2 linked regions of the Drosophila melanogaster genome follow. The protein of the gene in region 2 interacts with the protein of the main gene of each other region in a pairwise test. Each region holds a gene or a part of one and is shown on either strand. Other genes may lie near its edges. The genes, in order: nod and GATAd.

Region 1 (10,456 bases), on a different chromosome or scaffold from region 2:
CAGTTCCCACTATATTTTATTCGGTATTTTCGCAGTCATTAGTGTGGCCAAAACTCGAAAATATCAAGGGCTAGAGCAGCTAGATGTTGCGGCATTCGCGGCCTGGTCACACTAAGCTAGGGCTACTTTTTATATCATAAGTCGAGCGTTTAGGTAAGCGAAACAAAAAGAGCTTTAGTTAGAGGTATTAGTTTGGTTGCTATTATTTCTAAATTGAAAACTTCACTTCCTTTGATCCAAAAGACACTGAAAAGACACGTTTGCAGTTGAGTTCATTATTTTCTGGTATACATACACACTGATTACTCATTCAATTGGCATTTTGCTCTTGTTTTTCTCCGATTGCCTTGCACTCGCATAAATTTAACACAAAAAAGAAGTTCGGGGTGTTTAGAATCCATCCACTTGGTACAGTTCCCATCGAGCTGGTGAGTACTCCGCGCAGTGCAACGTATACACACTTGAACTCGAATTCTGGCAGCAAAATGGTGGTGACCTATTAATAACACCCGCTCAATTTTCCCTCGCTTTTCCATTCAGTCTCCAACTAGCTGCAAGTGAGTACGTTACTTCCGAGATCCTCTCCAAAAAAATAAAACATAAATCCAAATCCAACCAGTGTAGCATCCATTGAATTAGATTTTCCGACACGTTGCGCCTATGACAATCCTAATTCCATCCTCTTCTCTTTCGTTTAGGTAGCTCGGATGGCCATCGAAAGGGTAAATTGGTGTTACATATAGCTTTAGAGATCGTTTCGAATCACATTGATAATCGTTCGAAACGTTCTCCGAAGCAAAATCAAGCAAGAGTAACGATTTCCGCATAGTCGAAAATGTTTAAGTTGAATTGTCTTACGGACAGTGAGATGAGTACGACTATTTGGAAATCACAAACGAATTGTTTTCATGGTTGACGCGCTTGTCAAGCTACAAAACAAAATGAATGATATACAATATACAATATACAATATGCAATACAATACAATACAAGACAAAAAAATGTGTCTTGGAACGCAACATTGTACAAGTCGCAATGCAAACTGAAGTCTTAAAAGACGTGTAAAATGTTGCAAATTAAGCAAATATATATGCATATATGGGTAACGTTTTACGCGCCTTAACCAGTCAAAATACAAAATAAATTGGTAAATTTCATATAACTAGTGAAATGTTATACGAAACTTAACAATTGCCAAATAATACAGATCGATTTAGAGCGAGATGACAATAGAGAGGCGATCTCTCTCGTATACGAGTCTTGAAAAGAAAGAGAAGGCGAACGGTGCTGGCTTAGAGAGAGATGGCAATACTAATTAACTGCAAATACATTTCCGCCATTTTGTTGGCGCTAAAAGTAACGGAAATTCGAGATGCTTTTAGGGCTGCCACCTTGGTTTCCAGGGTGACCAGAACTGACACTTAAATTACATATGACAAATAAAGACTTATCTGCTATTGCAAATACTGTTTTAAGCGGCTTTTTTTCCATCAAATTTGTTAGTTCTTGTTCCTGTTTTAATAAGTTGGCAATACCGATCCTCCGCACTTGCTATGTGTGTCTATAATCATATAGGGTGGCAGCGCAGGCCAGGGCTGGCAAGGGTGGCGCATTAACAGAGTTCTGTAATGTTATGCTCATGAACAATAGCGATGCCATTGTGCACGATATGTTTGCAAAACATGTTAAGTTGTGTGCAGTATTTTAGCAAGATTAAGTTAAATTAGAGATGGCCCCTACAACATACACATACCAAAAGCGAGGTCACAAGCCACAATGTAAATATCCATGACACCAACCCAGATCGTTCTTAGTGTTATTACCGCGACGGTCACACTGCCAAAATCAATTTGAAATGCAAAGGTCGCTTGGCTTCGTCAAAAAAGTAAAATAATTACGGTGAATGCAAGCCAATTGTGCATTATTCAAACAACTTCAATTCTTCAATCTGCATGGAGGGCGCCAAATTAAGCGCAGTTCGGATTGCGGTCCGCGAGGCGCCGTACCGCCAGTTCTTGGGGCGTCGGGAGCCCAGCGTCGTCCAGTTTCCGCCATGGAGCGACGGAAAGGTATGTGCCCCACCATTGGCCATGTGCATGTCTAACGGTATATGACCGCCATCTCGCTTTGTAGTCGTTAATAGTGGATCAGAATGAATTCCACTTCGATCACGCCTTTCCCGCGACCATCAGCCAGGATGAGATGTACCAGGCGCTGATCTTGCCGCTGGTGGACAAGCTGCTCGAGGGATTCCAGTGCACTGCACTCGCCTACGGCCAGACGGGAACGGGCAAGAGCTACTCAATGGGCATGACACCTCCGGGAGAGGTGGGTTTTTCGTTTAGCCATCAGTGGCTTAAATCTTTCCCACTGATCTATCGCTTCTATTCCTTTACAGATACTGCCCGAGCACCTGGGTATTCTGCCTCGCGCCCTGGGCGACATTTTTGAGCGCGTGACCGCCCGGCAGGAGAACAACAAGGATGCGATTCAGGTGTACGCCTCCTTCATAGAGATCTACAATGAGAAACCCTTCGATCTGCTGGGCTCCACGCCACATATGCCCATGGTGGCGGCGCGTTGCCAGCGATGCACCTGCCTTCCTTTGCACAGCCAGGCGGATCTGCATCACATCTTGGAGCTAGGCACTCGCAATCGACGCGTTCGTCCCACCAATATGAATTCCAATAGTTCGCGATCCCATGCCATAGTCACCATTCACGTGAAGAGTAAAACCCATCACTCGCGGATGAATATTGTGGATCTGGCCGGTTCAGAAGGCGTGCGGCGAACTGGGCACGAGGGCGTGGCCAGGCAGGAGGGCGTCAACATCAATCTGGGCCTGTTGAGCATCAACAAGGTGGTGATGTCCATGGCGGCGGGCCACACAGTGATACCATACCGCGACAGCGTCCTTACCACAGTTCTGCAGGGTAAGTGCTACGTTTTGGATCGTCTCATGCTCAATTAGTTAGTGGACCATTTGGGTTCAAGCCTTTATTGATTAGCGACTTAGTGACTACTATAAATATTGACTGCAACTTCTTGCCGTTTTCATTCTTTGCAGCCTCGCTAACCGCGCAGTCGTATCTGACCTTTCTGGCCTGCATCAGTCCGCATCAATGCGATCTCAGCGAGACGTTGTCCACCCTGCGTTTTGGCACCAGTGCCAAGAAGCTTCGGCTGAATCCGATGCAAGTGGCGCGCCAGAAGGTGAGCCATCTATATGTAATTAAAGTCCACACAGTCGAGGATCACCTCGCGTATACGCTGTTTAAATGTAGCCTCGTTGCCCGCGCCCAGGAAACCAGCTCCATGGAGATCCGTAGTGGCCCCCGCCTCGATGCGCTCGCTAATTGCCTGAAGGTCGGGCACATCCTGACCCTGCATCGTTACAATGGGTAGAACCATCATGGCGAGAAGCAGGCCCACAGCCGCTTTGGTAGCCACCTGTTCATCGAATGCAGGACGGGGAAAAAGTTGCTCCACCCGCTCGCCTAGTCTGTTGCGAACACAACAATACAATAGTTGAAGCTCTAGGATTCTTATACTTTTACTTACCTAATCAGCTGCAGGCCCAACTCTTCATAGTAATCCTCGAGCATATTTTCGAGGTGTCGCTGCCGGAATCGCCGCGAAGTGCAAGTGAAGAGGAAGTAAGCTAGATCGGTGACCGGCGAGGCATATCGCATCAGTTGCCAGTCGATCAGGCGCACGTCCTCGAGCTCGCCCCGCTCTGTACTCTTGTAGAGAATGTTGTTATTCCAGCAATCGCCGTGGCAAATAACAGCGAAGGGTTCGCAATTGAATCCGCTGACCAAAGGCAGCAGCAGCTCAAAGTACGATCCTCTGGCGAAGTACGCCTCCAGACGAACTCTGTATGCATCATCCGCCGGTGCGAGCAGTGCGGATAGGGCGCTTTCCTTCAGATTCTCGAAGTAGACCCCCAAGGCATGATCATCGCGTCGCTGCTCAAAGATATCCACCAGCTGCTGCAGTTGTTGCATTTTCTCGGGCAACTGCCGTTTCCCGGCCAATGATATAGCATGTAATTTGGCATAGGTGAGCATTACGCGACGCACATGCTCGACGGATAGGTCGAGAAAGCGATTGTGCAGTGAGAAGCCGGCACAAGACAGATCCTCCAGCACGATGCACTCGTTGGGCTCATCCTGGCGAGTTCCGAAACAGAGCGCGTGCTGCCGGAAACGATCATCTCCGATTATCTTCCACTTATCCTGAATTAACGCAGTCAGCGGCAGAAAGACCTCATATGCTGCCGTCTCGCGCAGGAAACATGGTCGTGCAAAGAATTGCTTGCGGCGCACGCGATTCTGTGGCGGCAGTTTAACCACCAGGCTGCGTTTCGAATCGGATGCCGCCTGTAGGCGCCACACCACGCCCAAATAGTTGTCGCCCTTGGCACTCGCCCTTTCCAGACGCAGTTCCGGATTGGCGCCCAGCTCTGGCCACAGCTGGCTGACCAGTTGGCGAAGGAACTGTGTAACCTGCTCGTTGGGCAGATCTTCGTCTGGCTTGGCTGTGTCCTCTTGTTGCTCTACAGGACTCTCCATCCTGTCTGGGTGCTCTCTATTCACCTCCCCATTTCGTTCATCTTCGGTGTCTTCATGTGGATCTGGTTCGGCTTCCTTCTGATCAACTTGCTCTGCTGGAGCTGCTAGGTTGCCAGTGAGCTGAATCTCACTCGCAGAGATTTCTGCTAGTTTTTCCCTGTCCGCATTCTCTGCCAGCTCATCCTTTGATTTCGCCTCAGGCTCATCATCTCCTTCCAACAACTGATCTCCAAATGTTTGATTCAACTGGGGAATTTTTTTATCAAGCTCCTCTATGCCTTTGAGCTCTTGTTTGTCGATCACTTTCGAATCAATCTCTTTGGCTAGTTGTTTTTCAATGTGCTCCACCTCAGCACCTCTCGGTTCCTCCAACTCTGCCACCAATTCCTCCTTTTTCACACGATTATCTTCTAAATCCTGCACTGCTTCGCTGTTATTTGAGTTCTCCTCCTTTGGTTCCTCAACATCAATTCGTTTAGGTGACTTCTGATCGACATCTGGATAACTTTCTGTTGAGTCTGGTGAATTTCCTTGATCGGATGCCACTTCTATCACTTCCTGACTTTGGCGATCTTTCTGCTCCCCCTCCTGCGTCTTCTCACTGGGCTGTTCCATGGCACACTACGCCACCGCCGCGAGTGTGGATCGTTTATATAGAGAAACCAAGCCGTACCGAACCGAACTCATTCCAACCGCACTGACCGCAAATCGAACGATGCAGTTACTCGAGTTTCATCCACCCATCTTGCTCTGATTGCAGCAATCGCTGGCCGCACGGACAACACACGTCTTCCGCCAAGCGCTATGCACCTCGACGGCCATCAAGTCAAACGCAGCCAATCATAATAGCATAGTGGTTCCAAAATCCAAATATAGCACAACCAAGCCGCTGAGCGCCGTGCTCCATCGAACTCGCTCCGAACTTGGCATGACGCCCAAAGCTAAGAAAAGGTGAGTAACACGGAATGGACCAAAAGCGAAGATGATCTAATCCTCCCATATCTTCCTCCATAGGGCTCGCGAGCTATTGGAGCTGGAGGAGACCACGCTGGAGCTCTCGTCTATACACATTCAGGACAGCAGTCTGAGTCTGTTGGGTTTCCATAGCGATAGCGATAAGGATAGGCATTTAATGCCTCCCCCAACAGGGCAAGAGCCAAGGCAAGCCAGCAGCCAGAACTCTACGCTAATGGGCATTGTCGAAGAGACCGAGCCCAAGGAATCGTCAAAGGTGCAACAGTCAATGGTTGCCCCCACGGTGCCCACAACTGTACGCTGCCAGCTGTTCAACACCACCATCAGTCCCATCAGTCTACGGGCATCCAGCTCTCAGCGAGAACTTAGCGGCATCCAGCCAATGGAGGAGACAGTAGTGGCTTCGCCACAGCAGCCATGCCTTCGTCGTTCCGTGCGTCTAGCGAGTAGCATGCGTTCGCAGAACTATGGAGCCATTCCCAAGGTTATGAATTTGCGGCGCAGCACGCGGCTGGCGGGAATCCGGGAACATGCCACCTCCGTTGTTGTGAAAAACGAGACGGATGCGATACCGCACCTTCGAAGTACAGTGCAAAAAAAACGTACGCGAAACGTGAAACCTGCGCCCAAGGCCTGGATGGCCAATAATACAAAATGTTTTCTGGACCTGCTTAACAATGGAAACGTTAAGCAATTGCAGGAGATTCCAGGGATCGGTCCAAAGTCCGCCTTTAGTTTGGCCTTGCACAGGTAAGTTACTTACATAGTTGGCATACCTTTATTTGCGTTTTACCCAATAACCCTTAATCCGTAATCCACATTTTTCAGATCCCGCCTGGGTTGCTTCGAGAATCTTTTTCAAGTCAAATCCCTGCCCATTTGGTCGGGAAATAAATGGGAACGATTTTGTCAAATTAACTGTCTCGACACTTGATACAATTACTAATTAAATAGCATTTTAATTCGAATATAGTATAGTGATTGTTATTTATGTGGCATATACTTTGATTTTACAACTATAGTAGGAGTAAAAAAAGGAGCCGGATATCCTAAAACAAACAGTTATATATGTGTATGTGTAATATTTCTCAAGATGTTTACTTATTTTTTGTTTTCGACTATAATTTATTTGATGATAGCTTAGACTACCTATTAAATAAGCGCTATGTAATCTAATATTTAATTGCATTTTTTGATTTAAAGTAAAATAACTTTTAGGTCAATAACAATAATAATAGGACTTTTACACTTTGACACTTTTTATTCTTGGCATATAATTTTTAGACAATATACATATATATATACATTGATTATTGAAGTCGTCGATCTTCACTCTTCGCACTCACTCAACAGGGGGATTCTATCTACGAATCCATCAGTTTCGGCCGCTTCGATTCCAGTTTAGTTAGCACTCTCTCCTGGTTGATTTGGTATATACATACATACATATTTGATATATATATGTATATAGGTATGTATGATCATACGATTAGCATACGAGATAAGCTGCCAATCCAATCCAAACACATGGCGCTGGAAATCGGCATTCCATACACATTCCTACTCTCTTTTGGCTGGAAATCTTATCCGATTTCCCTTCGCTTCAAACATCAAAATACTCTGTTTGGGTTTCCCGAGCGTTGATTCATTAATCTAGCCATGATATAACAACCAAAATAATATCAAGCTATAGAATATATTTTTTAAAGAAAAAAAATCAGTCTGCGGGCATCCAGTTCTCAGCGAGAACTTAGCGGCATCCAGCTAATGGAGGAGACAGTAGTGGCTTCGCCACAGCAGCCATGCCTTCGTCGTTCCGTACGTCTAGCGGGTAGGATGCGTTCGCAGAACTATAGAGCCATTCCCAAGGTTATGAATTTGCGGCGCAGCACGCGGCTGGCGGGAATCCGGGAACATGCCACCTCCGTTGTTGTGGAAAACGGGACGCGCCTTCAAAGTGCAGTCCAAAAGAAACGCACGCGAAAAGTGAAACCTGCGCCCAAGGCCTGGATGGCCAATAATACTAAATGTTTACTGGGCCATCTTAACAATGGAAACGTTAAGCAATTGCAGGAGATTCCAGGGATCGGTTCAAAGACCGCCTCTATTTTGGCCGTGCACAGGTCAGTTGACATACGTTCATTTGCGTTTTACCCAATAACCCTTAATCCTTAATCCACATTTTTCAGATCCCGCCTGGGTTGCTTCAAGAATCTAATTGAAGTCAAATCCCTGCCCATTTGGTCGGGAAATAAATGGAAACGATTTTCTCAAATTAACTGTCTTGACACTTGATACAATTACTAATTAAATAGCATTTTAATTCGAATATAGTATAGTGATTGTTATTTATGTGGCATATACTTTGATTTTACAACTATAGTAGGAGTAAAAAAAAAGGAGCCGGATATCCTTAAAGAAACAGTTATATATGTGATTTATTTTTTAAATAGGCTTACCTAGGATATATTATATAATATATTAAATTAACAAAACAAGTTGGCATTTTAAATTAAAGCACAAATTGATTGTTATAAAAGTATTAAACAAAAAAAACTAGTCAAAAAAGAAAAACTTTCAAATAAATGACTTATTAAAAGTGACCAAATAAATAATATTCATTAACTTTTTTTTTCAAATTTAACTCCCTTTCAGCGTTGCCAGATTGGGTTGCATGCGGGATTTGATTATTTTTATTCACAAATTCTGGGTAGAGGGCCACTTGTGCTGCTCCGGCAGCTGGTCACACTGTACAGTCGCGCAGTTTGGTTTCTTTGGTGCGAGAAGACGGTTGGTGTTGTTATTTTTTTTTTAGTTCGCTCCGCTGTTTTTAGGTGCTACGCGCTTTATGGCCCGCTCTTAATCTTATCGCAAATCAAATCAAACCGCGGCCAATGAGCACCGTAATTTCACTTTTTGGCTAACGGTAACGGCACTTCCGCTCTCCGAATTCGATATTCAAACAGTCGCATTCCATCGAAAAGCGAAACAAGAAGTGGCCGTAAAAATGACCGTGAAAACAGTGAATCGCCAGCAGAGCCAAACGCCCACCCAGCAACGGCAATTGCATCAGCAGCGGGACGTCGAGAATGGGCTCTATCCCACGATTTCGGACGGAATATGCCACATTATTATCGGATAGAATACAGGAAATGTAGGATTTAGGTAAGGGAATAATAAATTTCTAGTAGTTTTCAAGTCATTTTGGAGAGCACATAGTGGTTAATTCATGTACCATATTAATGCATGGGAAATTGGCGAAAAACAAACACTCAGCCGGCACTTCGCGGCACTCACACCTACACAATCATACGTGCGTGTGAATGAAGTTGCTTGTGCTTGTGGTGGTCTGCCCTGTTGCCGTCTTCTTCTCACCCTCGGTGAAAGTTGAGTTCGATGAATCATCTGAGCATCGATCCGCTATGGCGGCGATCTTCACTCTTCGCACTCACTCAACAGGGGGATTCTATCTACGAATCCATCAGTTTCGGCCGCTTCGATTCTAGTTTAGTTAGCACTCTCTTCTGGTTGATTTGGGCAGATTCATATATATATATGTATATAGGTATGTATGATCATACGATTAGCATACGAGATAAGCTGCCAATCCAATCCAAACACAAGGCGCTGGAAATCGGCATTCCATACACATTCCTACTCTCTTTTGGCTGGAAATCTTATCCGATTTCCCTCGCTTCAAACATCAAAATACTCTGTTTGGGTTTCCCGAGCGTTGATTCATTAATCTAGCCATGATATAACAACCAAAATAATATCAAGCTATAGAATATATTTTTTAAAGAAAAAAAATCAGTCTGCGGGCATCCAGTTCTCAGCGAGAACTTAGCGGCATCCAGCTAATGGAGGAGACAGTAGTGGCTTCGCCACAGCAGCCATGCCTTCGTCGTTCCGTACGTCTAGCGGGTAGGATGCGTTCGCAGAACTATAGAGCCATTCCCAAGGTTATGAATTTGCGGCGCAGCACGCGGCTGGCGGGAATCCGGGAACATGCCACCTCCGTTGTTGTGGAAAACGGGACGCGCCTTCAAAGTGCAGTCCAAAAGAAACGCACGCGAAAAGTGAAACCTGCGCCCAAGGCCTGGATGGCCAATAATACTAAATGTTTACTGGGCCATCTTAACAATGGAAACGTTAAGCAATTGCAGGAGATTCCAGGGATCGGTTCAAAGACCGCCTCTATTTTGGCCGTGCACAGGTCAGTTGACATACGTTCATTTGCGTTTTACCCAATAACCCTTAATCCTTAATCCACATTTTTCAGATCCCGCCTGGGTTGCTTCAAGAATCTAATTGAAGTCAAATCCCTGCCCATTTGGTCGGGAAATAAATGGAAACGATTTTCTCAAATTAACTGTCTTGACACTTGATACAATTACTAATTAAATAGCATTTTAATTCGAATATAGTATAGTGATTGTTATTTATGTGGCATATACTTTGATTTTACAACTATAGTAGGAGTAAAAAAAAAGGAGCCGGATATCCTTAAAGAAACAGTTATATATGTGATTTATTTTTTAAATAGGCTTACCTAGGATATATTATATAATATATTAAATTAACAAAACAAGTTGGCATTTTAAATTAAAGCACAAATTGATTGTTATAAAAGTATTAAACAAAAAAAACTAGTCAAAAAAGAAAAACTTTCAAATAAATGACTTATTAAAAGTGACCAAATAAATAATATTCATTAACTTTTTTTTTCAAATTTAACTCCCTTTCAGCGTTGCCAGATTGGGTTGCATGCGGGATTTGATTATTTTTATTCACAAATTCTGGGTAGAGGGCCACTTGTGCTGCTCCGGCAGCTGGTCACACTGTACAGTCGCGCAGTTTGGTTTCTTTGGTGCGAGAAGACGGTTGGTGTTGTTATTTTTTTTTTA
Region 2 (10,825 bases):
CATTCATGGAGTAGCCGCAAGGATCGAACAAAAAGTCATCAATGTGCATAGTCGGCAATATGGTATCGATACCAGATTTCTGAAATCACAATCTATATGTATTGGTTTTAATCATTTAAAATATATCCTCATACCACAGTAGCGCCATTAGCATCATTAAACTTGTTTTTATAGAAGATTGACATGGTTTCGGGATCTAGATCTTGCATTAATATTTCAATAGTTTGATCTGGATCGGAGTCAACGTTTTTCTCATCCGATATAAGTTGGGGCGTAATTTTGATATCAGAACGACTAAAAGTGTAGAGGTACCAACACTCCAGGTTCATGGAGCCCAGACAATAGGATCTTCCGTTGGGAAAAATTGAGTCCAGATACGTAACTTCCTCCGTAAAGCCTTGATGGGGAGTTATCTGAATATATATGATATAAAATCATTTGAAATGCAATTAATTTTTTTGCCCACCTGCGCCTCCGGTCTAGTGAAATTTTTTCGCGAGTAGAACAAGTCTGCGACCACATTGTATCCATTGGCCTCAGCCAGCTTAAGCAACTGACCCAGGCATTTCAATGGAGTAGTCGTTCCACAAGTTTTAAGGATCCATCGTCGCTTTGAAACAAACATACTGCTCTCACTGCTCGCACCGAATACAAATTTAAAATAATTAATAATATTTTATTAAGTTTAGTTTTATATATTCGCATACCTTAACACAAAAGCATCAATAATGTCGTTTTTGGATGTGCTTATTATTTGACAGTTGACATTGCTAAGCACGTTTTCCCAATCAGATCTGAAAAATATCATTTACATTCATTAAAAGTTCAAGGCTATTTGAATAAACATGTACACAATGCCTCGACCAAAATTTATTTTGAGATAATGAGGATTGGATTAATGGGATTGATTAAAACTCGTTATCAAACAAGGCCAAGGGTTAAGACCGATTTTTGAAAGCTTAATTCTAAGTGAATTTACAAAGTTCTACAGGCTGCCAGTTTAAAAAGAAATTCCCTTTAATAACTAATTTCTTGAAATTTCAAATCAAATTTGTATATCTTGAGAATCATAAATAAAAACTTCAATTTAATTTGGGTAGGTACACGTGTGCCGCATCTGATAAGCCTAAAAACCAATGTGTAACCTATTCCAATGGGACTATGTTATGTTTAAAAGATAATTATCAGTGTAGAAATACATTTCATTTCTTTTCAGGACGAAAATGAACGGCGCATATGTACGTATACTTTTGCCCGCAACTGTGCATGCACTTGTGCACAAAGGACATGTCGGCTGTTTGGGTTCCGCACTTGTTGAGGGACTCACCTGCTGATGTTACGCAGATCATCGTCACCGTTGGAGCTCTCCTCAAACCAAATCTCAAGGAGTTTCTCAACGCCCTCGAAGAAGTGCGAACCGTTCTCCAACATGCTGCTGGCTGGCAATAACAAATGGATCTGATCTGATACCAAAACAACGCCTGGTGATGTAAAGTAAACGATGGGACTATCGATGCGAGTGCTTGTTGTACTACATCGATAATTCGGGAGTCTAACAGCATGTTTCCACTTACAGCATTTCTCATTGAACAGTCGGCGGTAAAAATGTAAGTCCCTTTCTATTCGAATTAAGATACTTAAATATCTTTAATATATATTTTTTCAAATTCTCATCATTAGTTTAACAGATTTTTCGGTTGCTTATCCCATACCCCAGGCAAATAGTTAAAAAAAAACAGTAGAATTTGGATTTTCATTTTACATTAACCAGTTTTATTGTGATTGTTAAAAATTGTATAGAGTATTTTATTTGAAAAAATAAATGAGTAATATTTTTTGTATCTTAGCCTATTATGAAGTCCTTATTTTATTTAGACAATTTATGTAGATTCGAAAACAGCATTAAGTTTTTTAGTTTCTTATAATTGTATATAATTTAAATATTTCCTTGAAAAGTTTGCATTGCGTGATTATTGCTTTTTGCATAGTTTTACTATTAAAATGTTTTGTGGAGATTATTATATTATCACATGATTTTCGTATAGGCAAGAGATTTAAAACATTATTATTTTTTAGCTTTAGAAGTTGTTCAATTGCAAAGACAGCTGAAAAATCATTGTTAAAACTGAACTTTTCATTTTAATAGAAGCGATTTGTGTTATTAAAAAATTAAAAATACTGTAAAATGGTTTTAATAAATATAAATATAATAAATTTTATTTTTAATTTAATTGCATTAAGTATTGATGTCCTCTCTTAAGGTCTATATTTAGTGTGATATTATTTAAAAGTTTTGACATACTGGTTCAATTTTCATACCTCTTTTACACTAATAAGTATTTTGGTATTAGTTTTTAAAGATACAAATGAATAAAATTTAGTTTTAAAGAATGAAAATTTTATTAATAATCTATACGTATTTTTAATCCTATACCATTTGTTTTTCTCTCTTACGCGACCTCATAAATAAACAAAATGTGGGTTAAAGGTTCTTCTTTTTTTTTCGAAAAGTGAGTAGGGGGAATATATTTGGCGTTTTATGTTAACTTTGCATTATTTTCACTGGAAACAAGGTTAAGCGGTGCGGATAGATCCGCACTTTCACAGGTATCATTAAACGCCGGCAAAGAATTTGACTTCTTACGCCTTGATAAAATATCTTTAAGTGCTGCTGCGGCTGGGGTCTCGGTATCATCAATTTCCTTTTTGAATTTCTAAAATAAAAACATATTAGAAAATTGAAGTTTAAGTGTATTTAAATCTTATGCAAATAGATCTAGTTGATCAATCTACTTATCAAGACTTTAAAGTAATAGTGCAGATACATACATTTAAAACAAGGCCCGAAATGGCTAGAGATTCCCTAGCCGTCAAGAAATCTTGCTTCGTTGTTTCTATTGAAGAACATGATGACATTTGTTTGTGTTCTGCAAAAGAAAGTGTATATTTATAATTTTCGCAAATAAATCATACAATTAATAATGAAAGGCTCGTAGATATTTATTCAAACTTGAGCAGTTTAACGACTTAACAGGCACGTCCAATGCCATCTACAACAATGACATCATAAAATATGATTGGACAAGCAAGAAAATATTTTGGGTGGGTACGCGGTTAATATTCCGATTGCTAAATCAATAGCTTAATGAACATATTAACAGAAAAATAAATTGTTTTGGCAAGTTACATTTAATTACCAACAATAAAATGGTCAGGGAACATAAAAAAAAAACATTAAGTAAACAAATTGTTTTCATTGTTAGATACTCAAAAAATAAATAAATCTATGGGTCACAGAGGGCTAGCTTTCGAATCGAAAAATGTAGATAAATTTCGAACTCTCACTCACTCTTTTTAGATCGCTCCAATTCTTTAGGACGCCTGCGTCTGGTGTGTATGGTATCGCGTCTCATTGAATGCGGCCTGTTGACCCCATGCAGCTTGAAGTACAATCCGCAGGCGTTGCACACCATCTCTCCTCGAACACTTCGCCGCCAAATTGTTGTGGTGAGGGTGCCACAATTCGAACATGACATATCTTTTTGAGCACCAGGTATGGCATTAAAAAGGTTTATGTTCTACGAAATCGGAATTGAACCAAGAAATAATATAATTAGTATGTGATTCAATGAGGATGACTGTGATAACGTACCCTTTTATCTTTCTTATCATCCGGAGTTGCTTCTGAAGTGGTATAAGTATCAGTCACATTCTCATTAACTACATCGATGCAATCAGTTTTGGTAGGAAAACTTTGTTTTCTTCTACATGGTTTTGATTTGCTGGATTGAGCCTCTGATAGATCCTAAGAACACAAAGAGTATTAGACTTTCCTATAGCTACTTGCTACTTGAAATAGAAGAAATAGTTTACCTTTAATAGTGCTATGGGTTCTTCAGGTACTTTTGTAAATGATACTGTCGACGGAACCGGAAACGCGAAAGGCTGGCTCATCATATTTCGAAATATTTGTGATGCCGGATTGTCCTCCTTGCTTTTAGCTATCAAATTGAAATGTTTTTCATAATAATATGCGGTCAGTGGTCGGATAATAATACGTACCGGCTGATCTGGCCAGTGCCTGCCAGAGTTGAGTAGTTGCCGCATCTGTGGCGTGATCCGAGCTTAAGCTATCCGGAGTCTTTCTATCATTTATGGAGGACGTGATGTCCATCTCTAGTTTGTGAGAGTCGGAACTATCGCCAGAGTCTAGCAAGGAGCCGGTACTCGCCTTGGGTGCTTTTGATTTGAAGTCGGACCCACCAACTTGGTTAATGGTAATACTGTAGTTTTGAAAATCCTCTTCACTTCTTAAGTGTGACTGAATATCAAGCATTGGAGTTTGGCAAAAATGGTGTATTGGGGCCGCGTTCCGTTGATTAGAGTAATCGTTCTTTTGTTTTTTGACGGATAGGTCAATTTCAACACCGTCCTGAATTTCATTTTGGTTTGATGGACGTTTTGATTTTATCACAGAACTTTTAATACTTGTATCTACAGCTGCAGAAAAACACGGAGATTGCGGATTCGAACATGGAGGGGAAATTACTATTTTTTTGCTTATATCCATTAAAACGGCAGCCGTTTCAAGCTGCTGCTGCAGATTTTCATATTTCTCGATATCCGAGTCCTTTTGCAGTTTTGAATCAAACTGGCTGTGTGAGGATCCAGACATTGCTTTGCTCTTTTGATCGCTTTTCATAGTAATTGATTTGAATAAACTTGGATATAAGCTATGTGCTGGCATTTCTTGATTGCTAATCTCGATTTTCCGATCCAAGCCGGGTTGGATGCTGGAATCCAATTTACTGTGGTCGTACTTAACTTTAGAGAACGTGCTTAACTCCGTCAGAGCCTTTGCCGCTATAGCCTCCGATGAAGCCTTTAAAATTGCATCGAGCTTGGTTTCCAAATCATTTGGGTCCTGCAAAAAACATAGTTCGTGAGTAGTAATTCAAATGGTCATTTAATTTAATGGCGTATGACTAACTAAGTTCCTTCCAATCAATACTTATACTTACTGGTCTCAGATTTTTGGATATATTTAAAAATTCTTTCAAAGCTATTTGTGAATTGTGCGCCATGGTTCGAAATTTTTCGAAGGAATCCAATTTTTGTCTGCAGTCGCCACAAACCACGTTGGGTAATCCATCGTTGGGCAGTGCCTGAAAGAAATATGAATGTATCTTATACTGCAGTATCCACTTTTAATATTCAGTTGGCTAGCAATGAGAATGATGCAATGACTAAGGAGCAAGGCGGTAACAAAATCGATCGATGGGATTGATGACTGGTTATACTTGGAACTAAAAGAAGAACATTGGATGCTTTGATATTGTATAAATCAAGCTAAAACTATTTGTATTTTAATCAATTTTATCATTATACATGTATTAAAACTTTAGTATACAATTTATATCTCTGTAAATCTCATGAAACAAATTATTTTAATTGAAAAAAATTAAAAACAACCCTATAAAATGATAAAAAAAAAAAAAAATAACATATGTTCATCTACGGAAATAAACACTAAAGCTCATGAAATGCATTAAGAGCACAAATTATCAAATCAATAAATAAATAAATACATAATAACAAATGAAAGTACTCGAAGTATGTAAAAAAAACACATTGGGGCCATATAAGGTGTATGTACGTCGGTATATCCGCACTTAAACAATCGAAACGAATGTTATCTCTTTGGTGGATTAATGTATGTAGGTCTCTAACATACATCCATGCGTGCATATACACACACGTATGTACATAGCAATATTTACATTCGTGCGCTGGACACTGATGTACGAGTGTGGCGTGGTGTGCGTGGGCCTGGGCCAATGCCTTGCAATGGTTCATCGAAAAAATACCAAACAATTGATACCGATTGTTAATAGGCCATGGGATAAAAGCGGCCCAATCATTTCCTATTATTTTGACGTGTGGTGTCGTAATCACATAGATAACACACACCAGCGCACGGCAAGCACTCGCAAAAGTGCGCGTGTGTGCGGGCATTATCGTGTACATATACGCGATATATCCAACTCACACACAGGTAAGAGCATGCTTGTGTATGTGCGTAATTAATGTAAATTCGTTTCTTTGCAAATGTGTTGGATGGAAATCTGCTTACCTTAATAGAGAGACAGTTGAATATCTGAAATGTAAGATGTGGTGATGATGAATCATCCCGACCGTGCTCTTTGCCGTAGTTATCGGTTCCGCTTATATTTGTTGTATTCACACTTGTCTCTTCGCGTCCGCTCTGCTGATTATGATTATGCTGATGTTCCTCCTCCTCGCGCATTGGCTCCGATTTTGTTTGGGATTGGGATAGCGATGCGGAGGGGGATGGCGTCTCCCCGCTATATTCTATATGTTCGTGATCCGACGATGACTGACTTTTGAATACTGTTGATCTCTCGGCGATGTCCGACTCCAATTGGCATTGGCGTTCGCGCTCACTCGACTTTGCGTCCGCAGCAGAAGGCACACTTGGCGTGTAATGGATTTTAGTTTGGTTTTGGTGATGGTGAAGGGTTTGCGATTGGATCTGCTGGCTTGGAACGGGCACAGGCACGGAAACGGGTATGGGTATGGGCACGGGTACGGGTGTTCCCTGGTTGCGCCGTTCATTTTTGTTGGCTGATAGCGGGTTATCAACGATGCAACTGCACGGATTGGGGCTTAAAGCGCTGCAAAAGCAGTTGGCACGATTCGCGACGCCACGAAAATCGGCCGATATTCTGTCTGGGGCACTATTATTATGCGACGAATTATCGTAAATCTGTAGTACTGCAACATCGCACTCGTTAACCAATGTGAGGCACAATCGACAAACTTGACGAAACTTATGTGGTACATTATTCATAATTAGAAATTTATATTCGTTTTGCACTGTGTAAAGAAACTTTCATACGCCTCTCCTTTATCGCGATAAAAAAGATAACTGGTAAAATAAATTATAAAATGAATGTAAACACTATTCCTCAATTTTTCATTGTCACAATCCACGTTCAGCTCACTAAAAATAATTCACTCCAGTGGTTCGCCACAGATTTTTCGCTCATTTGATCTAGTTTCCCGTTCAAATTACCAAACGAGGGCTCCAGCGATAGTCGCGTTAGCTGCATGATTCATCTCGGCATCGCGATAAATCAGTGATTATGCTAATGTGCTTCTGTGATAAAACATCAAGGCTATTGCAACACAATACAAAATATTGTTCTTTTCATTTGTAAGACCAACGCATACAGCAGAGGAACCAGTGAAATATACTGAAATAGGGGCAACTTTTTGGTATTTCTGTTATCGATAACGTACAGCTATACTCATTTTTAGCTAGAAATTTTTGACTATTTATCTGACGGATTTTACTATTATTATTAAAATTATTTCAATTGCGGAATATAGTTCCTAAAATAGCTAGAATACTTATCCCTAGGAAATGCGCATGTCGTTTTTTAATCTTGGAAAAAAAACCCTCCAAAGGAATAAACTCTGGAATCTGAAGAAGAGATGCCTTACAATGCCTTAAATAATACGTTCGATTCGATTGCTACAATTTATCAAAATAAAATAGATTTAAATTCCTTATTTTCAACAACCGATGAAACAACGGGAAACGGGATTACTTCCACTAACAATTTTTACCGTTTCCGTGCTTTTTTTGAAACAAGTGCTCAAAGAACAATATAATAAGGTCATACTTAGAATCTTGCAATTTAAATTACTGTACGGCTTAAGATTCCATGCCAAATTGTATATTTTAAATTTATTTGTATTCAGCGCCGGATTGGTTACACCGCATATTTTTCAAGGATGTCGTGTCATTTATTAGGCGCAACATATATTTGCCGCACAGGGGTACGTGTTTCCTTAATATTAAATGACTGTTTTTACAAGTTGCAGAACACTAAGTATATTTAAATTTCACACGATACTTAACATTTTATCAAATTAATGTTAATATTTCTATCTGGGTCCTTCGGCTACGGCGACGGGCAGGACATTACCAAGACTGCTAGCAGAATGCTTTATCGCACTGTACGTGGACTCCTTTTTGTTCTCCTCACCGGCGGGTTTGCTGAAATACCATTCCTTCTTATTGGTCAGAAATAGCAGCATCAGGGCGGGCAGGTGTATCAGTGAAAATCGGAACAGCTTCCGCGAGCTCCCACTATCTGACTTTTCATGAAACTTGTACGCTGCAAGCAAACAGAACGTATTAGACATAACATATAGGATTCCATGGTTAATGAGTATATTTACCAAGGTAGGCGAAGTACGCGTTCAGAGGTAGTGTTTCCAAGGCAAACCAGTAGTTCGTGACGTCCAGTACGGGTGCCATGGCTGAAAGTCCGACAATAGCCACCGAATATCGCAGCGCAGTGCGGCGACAAAGACCCGGATTGGTAACGGCCATCATTCGGTAGCCGGCACGTGAATAATCCGGCCGGAGGTTCCACGACAGAGCGTTGAAGTGCGGGAACTGCCACGCGTACAGCACTCCGGCTAGGATCATGGCGCCGGCGTCCAGGGTGGCTGCACAACCAGCCCATCCCATCAGCGGAGGAATGGCGCCCACTATCGATCCCACCCAGGTATTGACTATGCTGATACGCTTCATCGGTGTGTATATCGTGGTGTAGAGGAACAGGTTACCCGCTCCCAGCGCCGCCGTCAATCCATTTACTCCGAAATACAGCATACTTAAGCCGGCAGTTGCCGACACCGCGGCGAAGGTAACTGCATGCAGTGGTGTCATTTGCCCCGTGACGAGCACCCGGTTCTTTGTCCTCGACATCTGCGAATCGAAAGGAACTTCGTGATACTGATTAATGGCATTCGCCGCAGCCGAAACGAGTCCTGTGCCCAGGGTGCACATCGCAAACGTTGTGGGATCGAAAGCAGCTGGCGCCATGGCATAGCCGCCCATCGTTGTAATGACCACCAGCGCTGCAACGAAAGACAACTATGGTCGATGCTTGGCCAATGTTTAACCATCTCGCTTACATGTCAGCCGGAACTTGGATAGCTTCTTGTACTGGCTAAGAGTTTTTCCGGGCATGGTGTACGGACTAGGCATCCAGGTAATTTGACTATCGGGTAAATGCTGGACCTTTCCCGCCTGGGATACTGGCGACGCTGTAGTGACACCTTTGTCATCTTGGGAAGCTATCGTTGCTGCAGTGGAGTACTGAAAATTATTGGAAAGTTATAGTTTGTTATAGTGGTTTGTTGCGTAATGGCCAAGAACCTCACCCGAATGAGCACCAAATCAACCGGCGTTCTTAGCTGGGATTGCACCCGCCGAATTCCTTTGAATAATATCATTATTATTCACTTATTAGTTAGGTCTACGGTTATTTCATTTTTCTAGTTGTGTTTGGATTTCTATTACTTTTATATACAATGTTATGGTTTTTTAAATCACATTGTGCTTAAGTGTTACCATATCTCAAAATGAGAAAAATACTGAGTGCAAAAAATTTAATCAGAGGTATTCATAAATTGTTGGGATTGGGATTTTTTAAGAACTTTGAAAAAAACATAGCAAAAAGTTTTAAGCCTATTCCTTAAATAATAATAATATAAGTTTACATTAAAAGAAAATTTTGTGCCATGGTAAAACTCAGAGACATTTTCAGTTTCGATTTTTAAGTTGTTTTCTCAGTTTTTGCATATAAAAAAATAATAAATAATTAATAAATTTTTTGTTCCTTAGTAAATTAAATTATTTGTAATAATATTTAGTATTGTTAACAACACTATATACCAAGATTTGCGCATGCGTCAAACGTGTAATTTGCTTTATATGTGTGGGAGTAATTTTTACATCTGAATGCAGGAAGGCCGAAGTCCTTGTAAGTCTTCATTGATTCAATAATTAACATTTTAAACAAACGGAATACATTTTAGTTGTTAACAGTCGAAACAATCGTTTAAATAAAGCAAATACAAGAAATTATAATTGCAAGTAACTTTGACTATCTTCAGATATTTCTGTTACAAAAATTTGCACCTACACCAACTTTTTTCGGCTTGATTCTTGTTTCTCGATTTTAAGAATATACAAAATGTCAGTTCATTCATGTGTTGTTAAGGACAATGTAACATCTAAACACATATGAAGTTAAATACCAAATTGACTCTTAAAGTAATTTATAAATACGATAATGAGTTGAACTAAAGAAAATAGTGGAGTGGAGATAGTGGTGTCCTTTAGCAAGTAAAAGGAAATAAGAAAAAAACCATTTTATTGCTTTTACTATGTTTTAATTATGTTATGTTATTAATACACTGTAGTTGTAATCAATATTTAAGTCATCTAAACTTTTTTATTTCTTCTAGACAACTTATTCCAATGCCCATGCCAAGAATGGATATCTATATAACAAAGGGCATCACCAACCCCAACTACCCAGGATTTCAAAAGTTCGCGCATACCCTTTCCGATGACTACATAGAGTACTCCGACATGGAGTGCAATGAAAGCGATCTAACCGACAGCGATAGAGAAGATGACCCAACGTTCCCAAGTAAGATGGCCAAGGAATCGGGCTCGGAAACCTTTAAGAATGGCCAAGATTCGATTTTAAGTAACTGCGACAATGGAAACACATATATATCAGAAGAGGAAAGCGTGAACCGATCGGAAAACATTCCGGATATTGTAAATGAAAACTATAGTGCAACGTCGGAAAACTCCAAGCGAGCTTTGCAAAAACCTGACCTTATCTACAATCTAAGCCAGAATTATACGACCAATCCTGAGTTTCCATCCTGGTCATGTACAATTAATTCGAAATACGAAGGGCAGTTG

The links.
Region 1: the proteins of GATAd (region 2) and nod interact in a two-hybrid assay, tested with the Drosophila melanogaster proteins (one large-scale study listed by BioGRID).

Annotation. Positions count from the first base shown.
Region 1 is NC_004354.4:11,578,972-11,589,427, forward strand, and holds nod (no distributive disjunction), read left to right. Parts: upstream 1-1,800; 5' UTR 1,801-1,952; coding exon 1,953-2,069; intron 2,070-2,133; coding exon 2,134-2,328; intron 2,329-2,398; coding exon 2,399-2,933; intron 2,934-2,985; exon of another isoform or gene 2,986-3,067; coding exon 3,068-3,213; exon of another isoform or gene 3,214-3,222; coding exon of another isoform or gene 3,223-3,502; intron 3,503-3,561; coding exon of another isoform or gene 3,562-5,189; exon of another isoform or gene 5,190-5,204; intron 5,205-5,334; coding exon 5,335-5,525; intron 5,526-5,588; coding exon 5,589-6,299; intron 6,300-6,377; coding exon 6,378-6,483; 3' UTR 6,484-6,779; downstream 6,780-10,456. Other genes in the region: pkm (pinkman), read right to left, coding at 3,223-3,502, 3,562-5,189. UniProt on the Drosophila melanogaster protein: Required for the distributive chromosome segregation of non-exchange chromosomes during meiosis. May be a microtubule motor required to hold distributively 'paired' chromosomes at the metaphase plate until anaphase.
Region 2 is NT_033779.5:10,330,121-10,340,945, reverse strand, and holds GATAd (GATAd), read right to left. Parts: upstream 7,033-10,825; 5' UTR 6,872-7,032; coding exon 6,134-6,871; intron 5,166-6,133; coding exon 5,022-5,165; intron 4,925-5,021; coding exon 4,063-4,924; intron 4,002-4,062; coding exon 3,874-4,001; intron 3,806-3,873; coding exon 3,653-3,805; intron 3,579-3,652; coding exon 3,350-3,578; intron 2,928-3,349; coding exon 2,830-2,927; intron 2,715-2,829; coding exon 2,538-2,714; 3' UTR 1,761-2,537; downstream 1-1,760. Other genes in the region: SamDC (S-adenosylmethionine decarboxylase), read right to left, coding at 1-79, 135-413, 467-635, 708-794, 1,328-1,431; Cox10 (cytochrome c oxidase assembly factor 10), read right to left, coding at 7,975-8,207, 8,272-8,958, 9,016-9,199, 9,265-9,336; Schip1 (schwannomin interacting protein 1), read left to right, coding at 10,367-10,825.